Stegostoma tigrinum: one gene and its partner. The protein of the gene in region 1 interacts with the protein of each later gene in a biochemical or structural test. Links are inferred from orthologs where the notes say so. Each region holds a gene or a part of one and is shown on either strand. Other genes may lie near its edges.

Region 1 (8,565 bases):
GTCTTAATTTTACTGGCAGAGGGATGGATGCAATGAACAATGTAAGTGGTGGGGATTAGCACAATGGGCACAGAGCAGTATACAGAGGAATGGGGTCAGTGGACTTCATGTTGGATGCAGTGAGCAGTGGTGGAGCTCAGGGCACAGAGCAGTGGGCTGGGAACAGCAGACTCAGAACAATGAAGTGGGAAATGGACAGTGAGCTGGGGGATGGGGGTAGTGGACACAATGCAGTGAGTTGGAGGATGGGTGGAGTGGACAGTTGAGTCACTTGAGTAGGTAAAGATCAGCGGGCGGGGGATAGGTTCAGTGGACCGGCTTGAAATGTTACAGAGTAATCGGGTGCAGTGGGTACACAGCAGTGGCCTGGGGAAGGTGGGTGATGTGGACTGGGGTGTGGGTTGAGTGGTTACAGAGCAGTGGGTTGGGTGATGAGTGCAGCGGGGTATGGTGTTGCTTGCAGGGTGCAGTTTTGATAAATGCCTTTTATGCACTCAGTATAATCCACACGGTCCTTTCAACACACCGGGAGGACCCTGCACTTTTCACGCTGTTTACAAGTTCCGGTCTGTCGCTGAAATCTCAGGCTATTTCACAGATGAATCATCTCTCGGCCAATTCCATGTTTTTTGTGATAGCTTTCAACAGCAATCCATCCCTGGTGTCTATCAAACACATCAGTAGCTCAACATCAATTCATATCCTCCCTGGGGGTCGAAAATTCGATGCTTCACGGGGAGACACGACTCCCAGAGAAACTGGAAAAATTATAATTGGTAGCAGGGGTTCGTCAATAGGACTGCGAGCAGTTGGAATCGTACTGGGTAATAACCTTGTCCCTGCAAACCTGTTACCTCTGACTACCTTCTATACAAACATTTAACTTTAATTCCTGTATTATTCCCAACTTTAACAAAGTTCGTCTCTCTTCCTTACCTTAACCACATCTTCGTTCAGATGTTTTGGATCTCTGTTGATTAAATCGATCTCTTTGGTGTGAACATCTGTCACGTATTTCTCGTTCAACTTCTCATCTTCCATTTTATTATTGGGTTTGTAAATGTTCCCGTGGTCTCTGATCGGCGACGGGTATAAAAGTCCCTGGGAAGGGTTACAACAATTCCTTGTTTAAGCTGACTTTGAGTTGTTCCAACATAAAACTCGGAAGGTAGTCGCTGCTTGATGCTTAAGAGGAACTTTGTGGAGCCTGATCGTATTTAAGTGGAAAAGTAAAGCGGCACCACACCCCTGTAAACCGGAGCTGGCGGCAGCAAAACCATTTCCATCTGGCAGCAGGGGGCAGCACGGGGGCTCGCCTGGATACAGTGAGTCACTACAGTACTGACCCACTGGGAAATCTCCCTCACTGCCAGGGATACAAGTGAGTCATTCCAGTTATACACCCTCTGGGAGATCACTCCAACTTAGGGATAAAAGGGAGTCATTCCAGTAATGCACCCCCTCAAATGTCTTCCAACTGAGGGATAAAGTGACACACTGCAGTACTGCACCATCTAGGAAATCTCTCCAATTTAGGGATGTAGTGAGTCTCTAGCAATGCATTCACTGGGATTTTGTTTTTATTCAGGAATGCAGTGAATCAGTCCAGCACTGCATCTCACTGGGAAATCTCTCGTTGCGGGCTATAGTGAATCACTGCAGCTCTGGAAAATCTCGCACCAGGGACACCATCATCCAGGCTACCTCTTGCCCGTTTTGTTGGGACATCATCTTGTAAGACTTCGAGTCCAGAAACCGCTCTCTAACTGAACACGGCGTCGAATTCTCCTACAGCCGGCCTTCCCACCCTCTCTCTCTCCCTCCCCATCCCCTTTGGGCAATGCACAACTGCTCGAAGAGGTACCGAATTCAATACCTGTATACGAACATCCACCAGCCTCTGATTCCCTTCCTCCGAAAGTTCTGTTCTGTTTTGTTTTGCAGAACAAATGCAGGATTAATAAATCCAGCAGTTTGAGAACTGAGTCACCGCGGAGATCAGTCCCTTTAACAGGAAAGGGATTGTTTGGGGAGCTTCCTTAAGACCCGAGTGTCAGTACGAAGTTAACGTGTCGGACAGAATAGCGGGTTCAATCCCCGCACTGACTGTGGTACCTAATCGAGAACTGGTTCCTCGCCTTGGTCTGTGTAGAGTGGCGCCCTTTAAACTGTACTCGTCTTCTGAAACAGAGAGAGAGACCGCTGCCTATGTCCTCTCATGGGCTTCAGTTCTCCTGTGAATCCCTCATTTTAATGAAGGATCCTACAGGTTAAATCCTATCGAACTGACACCATCCATAAGTTACCTCTTGTCAATTGCCACTTTTGCATGGTTACAAGAATATCGATGAACGCCAGAGGAACAGAAAATGCTGGAGGGATTTGGTAGGTTCAAGTTGGGGAGACGGCATGGCAGACGCACAATAAGGATTCTGCGATTTAGGAATGAGTACAATGAAGCTTGCCGCCCCCCGAGAGCTTTGAATGCTCAGTCCTTGGGTATAAACCACCAGGGACTGATCTAATTCTGGAGGCAGATGGCTGAAGGGATAAGATTGGAATATGGATTTACCTCCTCATACTGGCGAGACAGGCACAAACAGCCGAATAGCCTGTTCCTGACAATTCTGAGGAGCATAGACCATCGCCATATGTTGTCCTGTCTCCCCAGATCACAAGACATTTTTTATATTCCACTGATTTACAAGTCTGAATAACAATCTAACGTGTATAATTGACTTCTTTTAAGAAAAAAAGCCTCGTGTATTTTCTAGCTTCTTTTATGGCCAAGTATTTTTGTTTCAAAGTCACGATAGGTTCAGTTATTTTGCAGTGTGCGTTCACAATCAACAGGCAACCTTGCCTACGCTCTTCACAATGAAAAACCGGTACAGCAACACCCCCCCCCCCCCCAAATATTGTTACTATCTTGCATCAGATCATTATTATTGTCCCGTTCCTCAGCTGTGGTCTCATTTAGTTGTAATAAGGCGGGCGCGACTCTTCCTTACCTCAAAATCCCCGGTTTTGTCACCAGACATAGCTTCCCAAACTGGAGGATTTCAGCAAATCTGCTGCAGCTCTCTATTACTATTACCCTGCGGAAGGAAGATAGTAACGTGAAAGTAGGTAGTGATCGCTGGTCCTTGTGGCAGACCGCCAGTTCCTCTGGGCTGTAAAGGGAGCTCTGACTTGAAGAGCTGCCGCTTTTCAGTGCACAGAACGCCAAGTTCCCAGCTACAGCGGAAAATAGGGAATGCATACATGACTTCGCAGTGAATCATAGCGAGCAGCAAGGCTTGGGCAAGACCCGCTGTGGGAGGCAAGAGGCGAACATCGACAAGCCAGCGAGAGGGAGAGAATGTGTGAGAGGAGATCGAGTGTTAATGCACGGATGCAGGGCATTCTTGTGCTGGCATAGGAAGGGCGAGACAAACTCCGGCAAATTAGTGACGAAAGTTCAACTGATACTTGCATTGTAATGGGAAAATGTTTTCCAAACAGGGTAACAGTGCAGTGAAGTCTGTTTCTTAGGAAGGGAAGCAAAGTGTCGGACATGGGGACAATGAGATGCTGCTTGGCCTGCTGTGTTCATCCAGCCTCACATTTTATTATCTTGGAAATTTGCTCGAGTTACTTGCGAGATTTATCATAGAATCCCTCTGGTGTGGAAATAGGCCCTTCGGCCCAACAAGTTCAGAGCATCCCACACAGACCCATCCCCCTATAAACCCACCTATCTACACACCGCTGAACACTATGGGCAATTTAGTGTGGCCAATCCACCTGGCCTGCACATCTTTGGACTGTGGGCGGAAACCGGAGCACCCGGAGAGAGCCACACAGTCACCGGAGGAGGGGAAATCGAACCCGGGTTCCTGGCGCTGCGAGGCAGCAGTATTAATCACCGAAATACCGCGCCGGTGTTTCGAAAAGAGGAAATCCAGCAAACTTCATAGGGATTTAACTACTGTTAACAATAGGAATCCGTCTATGGATATGCACTCATGTGGCAAAGACCGGGGGCCAAACTAAACTTCACACGGCTATTTGCCTTGAACTACAGTATAAAGGTCCCACAGTATTCTTTTTCGAGAAAGAGACAACTGGCGATGGGTTACCACGCCTTAGACAAGGGAAAATGTTGAGTAGGAGAGTCCCTCATGGTAACCTCAACCAGCATGGGAACTGAATCCATGCTGTTGGTGTTACTCTGCCTCACAAACCAGCCTCTGGCCAACTGAGCTAGCTAACCTGCAACCATTCTTGTCCATGTAATCCAGTTCTCCCAGGAGCATACATCTAACATCTTCCACTTTCTCAGATTTTTGGCGTGGTGGCTTAGTGATTAGCACTGCTGCCTCACAGCACCCGGTGCCCGGCTTCAATTCCAGCCTTGGGTAACTGTGTGGAGTGACACATTCTCCCCATGTTTGTGCCAGGTGCTCCAGTTACCTCCCAAGTTCCAAATATGTGCAAGTTAGCTGGTTTGGCCATGCTAAATTGTCTGGTAGTGTCCAGGAGTGTGCAGGCTAGGTGGATTAGCCATGGTTAATTTGGGGTTGCAGGGTCACAAGATTAGGGTGGGGTGCTGTACTGAGTGTCAGTGCGGGCTGGATGGGCTGAATGGATTCCATCTGCACTGTAGAGATTCTATGATCTAGGGATGGGTGTCCAAAATCAGCAGTCTTTGATACATTGGGAAAACAACATCTCCCTTCAATAGTGGTCCCAGGTACCATCATCTATAAACATGGGAACATGGTCCTGTGAAACATTCATTGCTATTAAAAGACTGCATCTCCAAAATCTAAGCTTTATTTCTTCCAACTAAATATTGGTAAGACTGCAGCTATTTTCTTTATGACATCCCATTCCAAGATCAAATGCAGTGATTCCATCATTCAAACAGCTCCAGCCACTGGAAGCAGCTGTTTGCACCTGTGGGTATGTTCTATTGAACCTGATTTTCATTCCCTCCATTATAATCATCACTTCCTCCCACCTCCAATACATTCTTGCCTTTGGACATTTACTGGTCAAACCTTCATCAAAGCCTTTGCACCCTTTGGATCCTGTGGTATTCCCTGTTGAACAATCCTGGTATCTGCTACTTCTGCCAGTATGTGGTACTGGGTAAGAGTTGTTTGATAGTTCACTGACAGATATACCATTCCCCTTTGTCTTTGTTTTGTATTCAGTCTGTCTAGTTATAAATGGTTGAGGATCCACCACTATAGGTTATCTAAAACAGAGATCTATTTTTAAATAACAGGAAGGTTTACTGCATTATCGTACAAAGTGCAACTGTTTTTTGCCATGTATAATTATTAAGACCTTAGTGATCTGATAGAGATGTATCTGGTCCCTCCAAAAGCTAGAATAATGTACAAGGTGTGTGTATGACAGCTGTAGAATAGTGGAGTCAATGTAACATTAACTCTTTCAGAGCCATTACCTTTATACAACAGATCCAACAATTCTAATGTTCCTTTGGCCAGTTATCCATCATCTGCTATTTGCAAACTTCAGCGCATTCAAATTTCTGATGCTCACATCCTATCCCATGCCAAAGCCCATTCTAATTAAATTACATCAGTTACCTGTCCACCAATACTTCAAATGTAAAAATCTTTATCATTGTTTCAAATCCATTCCCAAAATCACCTCTCCCATCTTTGAAGCTTCTTTTACAGCTAAATCCACCTCAGTGCTAATGCTGGAATCTTGTTCATCCATCTCCCAATTGGAGGTGACACCTTTCAGATCAGATGTTAAACTAAAGTATCATCCTCTCATTCCTGAATTTAAAAATGTGAAACGTAATTCAATGGGGTGTAGGGCAGTTTCCTTGGTGGCCCAGATAATATTTCTTCCCAAGAAACATCACTAAGCTGATTCTCTGACTCTTATCAAATTGCTATTTATAGGTATTTGTTATTCATCCAGTTTCATACATTGCAACATTTACTGTATATCAAAAGTACTAAAGTGCTTGTGAAGTGATAAAGTTACGGGAAGTGCTGTACCAAAGCAGGACTGGGTTTCATGACAAAAGTATGGAATAGCACTCCAGGAAGTGATTCTAAACCTACATAAAGCACTAATTCAATACCAAATGGAATTCTTTGTCAAATTCTAGGCTCTGTACTTAAAGAGGTTTGTTAAAGATTTAGAAAGGACGCAGAGATTTACTAGAATAGTTCTAGTGTTGAGGGATTGCAGTCATTTAGACTGACTAGAGAAACTAGAGAGACTATCAGATTAGAGAAGGTTTACCTGAGTTGTGATCAAGGTGTTTCAGATCATATAATGTTCAAACAGAATAAATAGACAGAGAGAGAAATTCCAAGATGTGACAACCAGGGATTTCAGGTGATTGATTTGAGACAATGAGGAAAATCTATCTTTATTCAATGAGTTGTTAGGATTTGGAATTATCAGAATTTGGCTCATCAGACACTGGAAACAGATACACTAGCCATCTTCAACAAAGGATTTGGACAAACAACTGATGGAGACAAATTGCAGTCCTATGAAGAAAGAATGGGTGAATTTTACTGATTGGATTTTCTTTTAAAAGTAATGCTGATCTCATTGTTCTCAATGGCCTTCTTCTCTGCTGCACTAGTTTGTAGTTTATGAGTCCTTTTTTTACCTTGTGCATGCAATCCAGCTTAGATATCTAGAGTGTATAAAATATTCAATTCAGCTTATCATGATGACTTACAAATCAAGCTTTTAAGATCGTGAACTGGCATATAGATTATATACTGAGTTTATATATAAATGATAATTTAGTTAAGCTCTGAGGTTACAAATAGTTTTGAGATTTCGGTATTATGGTTATAAAAAGTCTTTATGCATAAAGGTTTGCATCATCATTTGAGGTAATAGCTGTTGATAACAAAATATAAATCATGACAGACATGAAGACACATTAAAGAGTGCAATCTCTCAACAATAACTGGGATCTCTATGTTAGCAGAACAAGTTATGTCTAAAATGTAAGATTGCTATGCAGTTTAGCAAGGCTACATTTACTCAGCATGACAACTTTAGTTATCAGTTAGTGGTCTTTTCCACAAGTTGACTTTACGGTTCTGTCTGCAAGTTTACTTTTGATAGTTTGTAGTGATCTTTCCATAACCAAAGGCACATTGATTGAATTGTGGTATTTCAATTGTTGCCATTCCACAGTCAGTTAACACAATACAGAACAAAATCTATGCTGTTTTGTTTGTATGATGATAAAATCTGGATGATGCTTTTACCCAGTGGAGTCAGTGGATTTAAAAAAAAGACCTCCTTTAACTTTATTCAGTAATTGTAAAGTGCACATGATAAACTTTTCTAAATGCTAAATTTCTTAAGCTCCTGCTAAAACTGATTCTGGTTTCAGGCTGATAACAGACCAAATCATGTCAGGAAAATAAATATTAATGTATGATGCCACCCAGTTGTTTTAATTTGTAACTTTAAAATGGTATCACAAAATAGATCTGAAGAAGGTACAATATGTCCACAGGGCTCAACTTTTTAAAGTACTGACATAGATATTCCACTGATGTACAAACATAAGATAGATAAATATAGAATCCATTACATACGTGCAGTGCATAATCTTTTCAAGTGCTGAGAATACAATATCTTGAAGATAATCAACACTTCATCATCATTAATTGTTATTACAGTAGCATAATATTGGTCTATAAAGGTACAATATACAGCATTGTAACAAAGAAGTGTGCATATGTATTCTGATTTTGAAGATTTGTATCCATTTGATATGGTAAAATTAAAGTAAATCTAATCATTTAAGCATAAGCAGTTGGAATTGTTTTGCTTCCCAATCTTTCAATTAAAGTTGTTACTATTGGATATTCAATCACAACTTACATAAGAATATGAGGAAATAGGAGTGGAAGTACATTATTGGGGCCCTCAAATTTGGTCTATTAATCAATAAGATAATGTTTGATCTGATTGTATCCTTAACTCCACTTTCCTGTTAGCATCCATAAGTATTGACACCCTTGTCAAAAAAAATGTCCAGTTCAGCTTTGAGTATATTCAATTAGCCAGACTTCACTGCTCTATGGAAAAGAATTCCGAGCACTAATAACCTTCTGAGGGAGGAAGTTCAGCCTCAACTGTACCATAAAAATGAGACCCCTTATTTTCAAACTGAGGTTCCTACTTATAGATTCCCTGAGGGCAAACATCCTGTCACTGTCTACCCCATTAAGACCTCTCAGAATCTCTTATTTTTCACAAAGGTCACTCTTCTTTATCTAAACTCAGTGAATATTAGACTCAAACATCTTAACCAGATTATTGTTCTTTGTGTAATAAAAATCCTATATGTAACTTAAAGACAAAGAATAGTAAATGGGACTAAATAAGTGAAGGATGAAAACCATCAAGGAAAACATTAGGAGCAGTGACTGGATTTTCAGAAGTGCAACAAAAAAGACACTTGGAAGACTGAAGAATGAATGTGTAAATCTAAAGCTGAAGGAAGGTGGAAATAAAGTAGGAGAGACTGTGGAAGGATTTGAAGAT
Region 2 (8,402 bases), on another chromosome or scaffold:
TAAATGTAAATCACCTACCATTCTTCTAAACTCCAGGCAATATAGGCCCAGGTTCCCTCATATATGAACACACACACACACACAAACTCACTCTCACACACGCACACATTCTCTCTCACACACACACACACACACACATACTCTCTCTCACACACACAGTCACACACACACACACACACACACACACACACATTCACTCCACACATTGGCCTGAATCTTCACGCAGATGGGCACTCTCTACACTTGTGTTGAAAATGCTGGCAGAGGCCTGAATGTGAAAGTCTCACTTAAAACCCAGCACCTACCATTTTCAGGGCAGTGGGAGTAAAGAAAATTGCTGAGTGATCAGTCTGAACAACTCCAAGGGACTAAATGGAACTGTCAGTTTGCTTGAGGGGAAGGGATTAAGTGAACTGTTCAACTTCATAAGAGATTACTTGAAGAAATTTGTCTTGTTTTAAACAGTAACCTCATCAATGGAGAAACAACTTGATTTCAGCGGTGTTCCTGGTTTGCCCACAGTGAACACTAAGTGAGTTGGTTGGACAGCAGAGTAAGGACAATGAGTGAAGTCAGAGGCATAAATTGGCACAGGGGCTATACAGGGCTATTTGAACGAAGTCAGAAGTCACATGACACCAGGTTATAGTCCAACAGGTTTATTTGAAATCACAAGCTTTTTATCCACTGCCCTTCGTCAGGTGACAAAGTTGTTTTCATTTGAATGAGACTATCTATTCGCATTGGGATTGCAAGGGACAATATGGGATTATTGGATGGGGGTATGGAGGCCTGTGGGAGTTAAGATATAGTAGGTTAGTTTCCAAAGTCATTGTGTCTTTATTTTTGTTTTGTGTATTTCCTTTTTTAAAAAAATCAGAACCCTAACAGTGTTCGGGGCATAAGGGCAAGCTTCAGCTGTAATTAGGAAATCACGGAGGCCAGCTCCCAGGGATCCCTTCCTGCAGGGCGGGGAGATGGAGTCCGAACTGCAAATCCACCCGGTTCTGCCCTCGTCACGGAGCCTCACGATGGGTGCCTCACACACACACATTCCCAATGGGAACAGTGGGTTTTTTTCACCTGACTCAGAGCTTCCGGATCCCTCCTCCGACACAGGAGTTCTGGCTCACGTACAGACGACCGCCTCTTTCACGTAGGATGACCCGATCGCTGGCCACGCAAAACACGCAGCTCGGCCTCAAGGGAGTGAGGATTAACAAAATTGCGTAAAAGCGGACTGGGATCGCAGCCCAAAAAAACGCTACACACTGCGAATGAGAGCTGCAGCTGCGACCACAACAGAATGGGTCTGCATCCTTCTGCTTGAAATCCGGGCAATTTCCATGCCTCATTACAAAAAACGGACCATTCCAGATGACACTTGTTACAAATACACAACAGATTTTCAGGAATGTTTGAGGGAAGCCAACATTTCGAGTAGTAGACCCGCGGATCGATCCAAGTCTGGATTGCCTTTACTTTTCCGTTTAGACTTTAACTGCTGTGTGTTTGCAGCATTTAAAAATAAAAAATGATTTTCACTTCACATCACAGGGCACCCCCTGCTAGTATCTATTAATTGGAAAAAGTAACAGCACATGACAGTCGAGACTTCTTGCAGCCCGAAACAATGTGCCAGATGCTCCCGTGTCAACAATAGCGCCTGATTGGACTGAAGATGTTGTTTATCAGGATTCAGCGGGGCTCCCATTTACCCGGGAATTTCAAACGTCCAATCAGTTCAATTGCTAGGGCCGTCCACAGAAACAGGAACAGGACTAGGCCGTTCGGCCCCTCGAACCTGCTCCACCATTCAATAGTATCACGGTTGGTCCGACGCTCTTCATGCCCGCTTTCCTGTCCACTCCCCTTAATGACCAAGGGGAGCTATCTCAGTGGCCAAACCCTTGTGCTAAATATTCACGACTGACTCAAATGCTCAGCCTAGAAACGATCCTGTTTAACCTCTCGTGTATCGCAGTGATTTACAGAGTAACTCAACTCACCAGCGCATCCAAACACTTCACACAAAACCGGAAATCTTCACCCTGTTAAAAGTGCTACATCACTTCAACATTGAGTTCTGTTCACTGAATAAGACATTTCAAAAGAATAACTTTGAATCCACCTGTAGAGAGTTTAGGGAACTTTCTGAACAGTCGGGCTTTGAAATCGTAGCCTCATCGCAATGGACACAGTCTTGTGGAAGACAGACAGTCAAGAGAGCCCTGAGAGACAGGGAAGACCCATTCACTGCCTTATTGCCACTCCAAGCAATCCTGCTTAAGACTGCCGTGATGTTACCTGTAGGGTAGGACAAATTGACCGAGATGACACTGCCTCCAAGTATAAGCACAGATAGATGAAAAATAAGATCATGTTCAAACTATTGGTATGCCCCAGTGAGAGAGTAGACATCTTTAGCAGACCAAGGGAGAGAATGAATGGTGATTTATTGTAGAGTACAACTGTCAACGAACAGCAATGTAAAATAGTGCGAAAAGCTCCAACTGTTGCCACAATCCAGCACCATTTGAATATCTTAGGAATAAAAAGTCTATCATTGTAGCACCACCTCCACCATGACTGCTGAGCCGGGTGACCAACCACACTTGTGCTGTCAGCCCTTCACCACCTGTGCCAGACCCACCAACAGAGTTGCCACTCTTCAGGTGCCATCTCTTCATTGCTGGGCCCAACTTGGCTACCCAAAATCACACCACAACCGGGGATCCTTGGCTTCACTGCCACTGCTGCCGCCTCACTGATAACCAGAAGCCCCCTCCCCCCACCCCCACCCCAGCTCCGGGCCTACCACAACCATTATCCACTGCTGCCACCTCACCAGTAACTCAGAAGCCCCCAGCTTTGGGCCTGCAGTGACCAGTACCTGCTGCTGCCACCTCACCAATAACACAGGAACCCGCATCTCCGGGCCCACCACAACCAGGAATTCCTGGCTCCGCTGAAACCACTGCCTCACTGATGCATGTACTCCCTGCTCTGGGCCCAGCACAACCAGGTTCCTGGCTCTGCTGCCAGGCCGGGCTGTTACCTCATCAACAGCCCCACTTCCCTCTGTGACATTACCTTCTCCACTGCTGACAACAGGAAATGAGGTGAAGAAAAGGAAAAAGAGATAAGACAGAAGGGGTTAAGGAAAGAAGTGAAGAAGTGGCCTTCTGGAGGTGATGGCCCCAGGAGCCCAAATGCTGTGTACCTTGCCAGTGCCATCATCTTGAAGTTAGAATAAAGAAATTAACACAACTACCGTCATTTTGGAATTGTGATACAGTTTATATTCTCTCTTCAGCAATGTCACTCTCTGTTTCTTTGAGTGAGCTCTAAAAAAAAGTAACACCAACTCATCCTTTAACATTTGGAATGGTTACCACTTCACACCTAATATTATTGCTCCTGTTAAAGCAGTTAACGTGTGACAGGGCAATGGGGTTGAAGTGTATTGTGTGATACTGTGGCTGTCAGAGTCAGAGGACTAGATAATCTCAGTTATGGTTATGGTAGGCGGGGAAATAGGATGGCACAGTCCAGAAATTAATTAGAGTGTGTTAAGAGAAGTTGCGATGCAAAGGAAATTAAACACCCTCCAGCATTTAACCAAGAGCAGTACTGACAAAGATCTTTTAACAGGTTTGCCAACTACCTTGGCTGCAGAAAATATGTGATTTTGGGAGATTAAAAAATGGAGACAGGATTGAGGGGAAGGGACAGAAGGCGGATGGGGATGGTTGGTGAAACAGGGGAAGTGAAATTTCCCTGAATTATTTCCTTGGTAACCTTCACATTGTAAAAGATGACTTGATGGTACTGTGGTTTCTTTCTTTCAAATTTCAATGTCAATTTCATAGCAGATATCTTCAGTTTATTGTCAACAAAATCAAAACGGTTGAGCAAAAGATGTTCATTGATGATCAAAATGACAAACTAGGTATCATAGATTTCAGGAACCTCACATTTTTTGCTTACAATTGTATCACAATTTACACAAATATTTATCTTCTCAACATAAATGAAGTGAACAGCACAATGCTGTTTAGATTCTCTCTGACCATTATCAAGTAACGACAACAAGTAATTGTACATAAGAAGTAAAACGTAACTGAGTGTGAGGAATCGGAAACAAAAACAAGAAAAAAATTGTAAAGGGGTTCAAACTGAAATTCTTCTCTGTCCAAATTCTGATGATCTCTTGTATGTTTCCCAATTTAGATAATGTATTGGGGTGTCTTGTTTTTATGAATAGGTTAAGAGTGGAAAAGGAAGGAATTCGTTCTGAAACGATGTAAAACATGAATTACACCTCAGCAGGAGCAGTAGGTCAGAGTTGGAGACCACTCATTAAGAAGCACGTTAGAGATAGCCCAGAAGAGATTTATTACAATGGCAGCGGGATAAGGGGCTTCAGTAATGTGGGGGAATGGAGAAACTGGAATTATTTCTTGGGAGAGTTAAGGGGGTTTAGACTTATTCAAAATCATACTAGGTTTCTAGAGTGAATGCAGGAGAAATTGCTTCTAGTGTTTGATAACTGCCGGATCGGGCTCAAGACTGGGAAGGGAGCACGTGAGGGGAAAAGTTTTCTTGACAGAGAGTGGTGCCAAGAAATTTAATAATAACTTTACAAACAAACATTGGGGAAATACTGGACGATAGAATTAGAATTGCTATGGGGGGAAACAGACGGGGGCTGAGATGAATGGGTAAGGAGCAGACGATGAATAGTTGGAAGACGTCACGGCGTGACTCATTGTTGAGGAAGAGCCAGTCTTTAATAAGCCAAGGGGAAGCGCTAGGGAGCAGATTCACAACAGGCTTCGAATGAAAGTGACGACGCTTGGAGAAGCCGGCGCAATGAGCTCACGAGCAATGCTATTGTTACTTGTTGCCGCGATTCTCCCTCTTCACCAGGCAGGTAAGGAGAAAACTGACTCACTCTGTCCGCCTCTGGGCCAGGATAGGAAGCGACAGGCTGGGCACTGACTGCGGGGAGCGGTTATACTGCCCGCAGCGTAGGGTTTCAGCACAGTGTGCTTCAGAAAACATGAAGCAGGCTGCAGTTTCCTGCTCTGGATAGGATTCTGGTTTCTGATCTGCATGAGGTGATTACTGAACAAGAGCTGGCTCTACAATAAGGCGCAGTAGTTGTCCTGGTTACTTGCCTCCAACTCGAGTGATTCGGAATATAAACTAGTCTCCCTGGCTGGGAGGGATTTTAACCGTGCTACCTTTAAATTTGAATCAAGGTGAGGCGAGGCTGTGAGAAATACAAGGCATAAAATACCTGCGAGCTTGACTTTTATGTGTGTTTTCCTCACAGCTAACCCTTGCTGCTCCAATCCCTGCCAAAACCGGGGAGTTTGCACCGCGGTCGACTCCGACAACTATGAATGTGACTGCACTCGCACTGGATTTTACGGCGAAAACTGCACCTCACGTAAGTGCTGGGATTGACTGACAGGTTCTTTTTTTCTGCGCGTTCACTGTTCGCCTTTCGGATAATCCGAACCCTCACCTGAATACCTGTCCTCTCCCAACAGCCGAGTTCTGGACCTGGGTGAAACTGAGCCTGAAACCGACTCCTAACACAGTCCATCACATCCTAACCCACTACCCAGGAATTTGGAATCTAGTCAACCAGATCCCTTTCTTAAGGGACAGGATTATGCGTTACGTCTTAACGTGTAAGTGACTTAAAGTAGCAGACGGTTACTTTTATTTGGATTATTTGCTGTCACTTTTAAGTCAACAGTGGCAGTACCAAATGTGGAGAGCAGATGCAAATTAGGCTTTTCGTTAGAAAAAGTGTCATTTAAGGGACGTGGGCATTAATGACTAAGTCAGCATTTTGTCCGTCTCTTAATGCTGTTGTGCAGGTGGGAGTGAACTTTGCGGTTCTTGAGGGTCTGGGGTTAGGTTGGGGGTCAGAGGGTCAGTTCTGCAAAATTTCAAAAGGCAGTCATGGAATAGCTTTCAATGAGGTTATCATTGGGCACTAGGTACTGAAAGCATGGTAAATGCATTTATGAACGTTGGGATATTTATTTATTGCTCACGAAGTAAAATTACATATGATTCTGTGAGAGATGGCTAGGGGATGGGAAATGATCGGATTACATGGATTGCTATGCAAAGTGAGTAGAGGAATTTTTACCTCGTGGTTCATTAGATCGTGGGAATTTATTAGTTCTATATTATTAATGACATCATATCTACTGTTAGACATTGGATGGGGCATGTGGAATCTGATTATGAATGTACTTCTTTTCTCCACAACCAGCCAGATCTCATTTGATTGACAGTCCTCCTACCTACAATGCGAAGTACTCATACAAGAGCTGGGATGCCTACGCCAATATCTCCTACTACACCAGAAGCCTTCCCCCAACTCCTGAAGATTGTCCAACACCAATGGGAGTAGTTGGTGAGTTACCAGAACAAGAAAACTTTGCTGCCCTACTAAAGGAGATGTCCAGTCTACTCCTGTTCCCATCTGAGATGCGCTTCCTGAGCCTTGTATCGAATTCGTGTCCCTTATGGGTGAAAAATGTTGTCCAGGATGGTGCTATTTCCATCCATGTTTTTTCTAATGAGCAAAATACTGTAATGTTATTGCTGTAACAGACAATCCATGAAAAGGATTGTTTTATTGCTCAGGATTGGGGTGGAATGGCACCACTTTAACAGAATTAGGTTATGTTTTAAAGATCTCTCTCTCTCTTCTCTCGCAGGAAAGCAAACACTGCCTGATCCTAAGTATTTAGCAGAAAGATTCCTGATGAGGAAGAAATTTGTTCCTGATCCCCAAAAGACCAATATGATGTTTGCCTTTTTTGCTCAGCATTTCACACACCAGTTTTTTAAGACTGACCAGAGCCGAGGCCCTGCATTTACATTGGGTTTAGGACATGGTGTAAGTATAAATCATTTCTATGGTTTCAACAATAATTCACAAATATTGAACATTAAAAAAATTGTTATACTTGCTTGTCATAAATCAATTCATATCAAAAATATATATAATCCCAACGCTATGCTTAAAATTACTGTGAACTTGTATTTTATATGCTTTGTATTTTGCAGGTTGACCTGAGCCACATCTATGGAGAAACTTTGGATCGACAGCACAAACTAAGACTATTTACAGATGGAAAACTTAAATATCAGGTAGATGTTTAAACAGAATTTGTTATCATGTATTTAGAAAGGTAGCAACATTTGCATGTTCAATGTCCAAATGCCTTTGATTTGTTTGGCAGTGTCTGTACGAAGCCTTCATGAAATGATCTAATTCACAAATATTTCTTGTAGGTTTTAAATGGAGAGGTTTATCCTCCCACTGTTAAAGATGCAGGGGTAGAGATGACTTACCCTCCTCATATCCCAGATCACTTGCGGTTTGCTGTGGGCCAAGAATTCTTTGGACTGGTTCCAGGGTTGATGATGTATGCAACAATCTGGCTGCGGGAACACAACCGAGTTTGTGATGTGTTGAAAGCGGTGCACCCTGACTGGGATGATGAAAGGCTTTTTCAGACAACCAGGCTAATATTAATAGGTGAGTGGATCTAACATATTCAGCTGCCTTCTAAAATGGCTCCTGATCCTTTGGGCATTTTGAGATGCAGAGCAGCATGCTGGCATGAAATACAAAAACACTGAATTCGTAGAACTTTACAGGTTTAAAGTTGAGTTTAAATAAACACTTTGGCATTAAAATTCTCTGCATTTAAATAAATATTTAAACTATCTTATTAATTTTAATAGGGGAGACAATCAAAATTGTAATTGAAGATTATGTGCAACATCTGAGTGGTTATCACTTCAAGCTGAAATTTGATCCAGAGCTGCTCTTTAACCAACAATTCCAATACAGTAACCGGATTGCATCGGAGTTCAATACCCTCTATCACTGGCATCCCCTGATGCCCGATACCTTCAACATCGAAGACAAAGAATACAGTTACCGTGAATTCCTCTTCAATAACTCTGTGCTGCTCGAACATGGCATCTCCAACATGGTAGCTTCATTCACCAGGCAGATTGCTGGCAGGGTAAGTATCAGCTCATGTTCAGGATGTTACATCTTGGTGCAAAACCAGGAAGTCATTTCAACTGTAATAATGGAGGCAATTTCAACACTTGAACTGCTGTGTCAAAATCACTCCATGTCATAATCCTTGTATTGCAATGTGATGGTGGCTTTGTTCACCTACCAATTCTCGAATTCAGCAACTAAAGAAACTTTATTTAGTACAACTCCGATTATTCACTGTTTATTCGGCAGTAGAATTTAGATTCATGAGGAGCTTTTAAGCCAATGATCCTGGTTTTCCTACAGGTTGCTGGAGGCAGAAATATAAATGCAGCATTGATTAAAG

Evidence for each region.
Region 2: the proteins of cav1 (region 1) and ptgs2b form a complex in vitro, tested with the Homo sapiens proteins (2 studies listed by BioGRID). The link is inferred for Stegostoma tigrinum from reciprocal best matches to the Homo sapiens genes CAV1 and PTGS2.

The regions. Positions count from the first base shown.
Region 1 is NC_081371.1:34,142,801-34,151,365, reverse strand, and holds the start of cav1 (caveolin-1), read right to left. Parts: upstream 3,360-8,565; 5' UTR 3,042-3,359; coding exon 3,012-3,041; intron 2,118-3,011; exon of another isoform or gene 1,877-2,117; intron 1,102-1,876; coding exon 937-1,101; intron 1-936. UniProt on the Homo sapiens protein: May act as a scaffolding protein within caveolar membranes. Forms a stable heterooligomeric complex with CAV2 that targets to lipid rafts and drives caveolae formation. Mediates the recruitment of CAVIN proteins (CAVIN1/2/3/4) to the caveolae.
Region 2 is NC_081361.1:46,207,068-46,215,469, forward strand, and holds the start of ptgs2b (prostaglandin G/H synthase 2), read left to right. Parts: upstream 1-4,812; 5' UTR 4,813-4,842; coding exon 4,843-4,936; intron 4,937-5,341; coding exon 5,342-5,458; intron 5,459-5,561; coding exon 5,562-5,705; intron 5,706-6,301; coding exon 6,302-6,445; intron 6,446-6,752; coding exon 6,753-6,934; intron 6,935-7,104; coding exon 7,105-7,188; intron 7,189-7,332; coding exon 7,333-7,579; intron 7,580-7,788; coding exon 7,789-8,075; intron 8,076-8,362; coding exon 8,363-8,402. UniProt on the Homo sapiens protein: Dual cyclooxygenase and peroxidase in the biosynthesis pathway of prostanoids, a class of C20 oxylipins mainly derived from arachidonate ((5Z,8Z,11Z,14Z)-eicosatetraenoate, AA, C20:4(n-6)), with a particular role in the inflammatory response.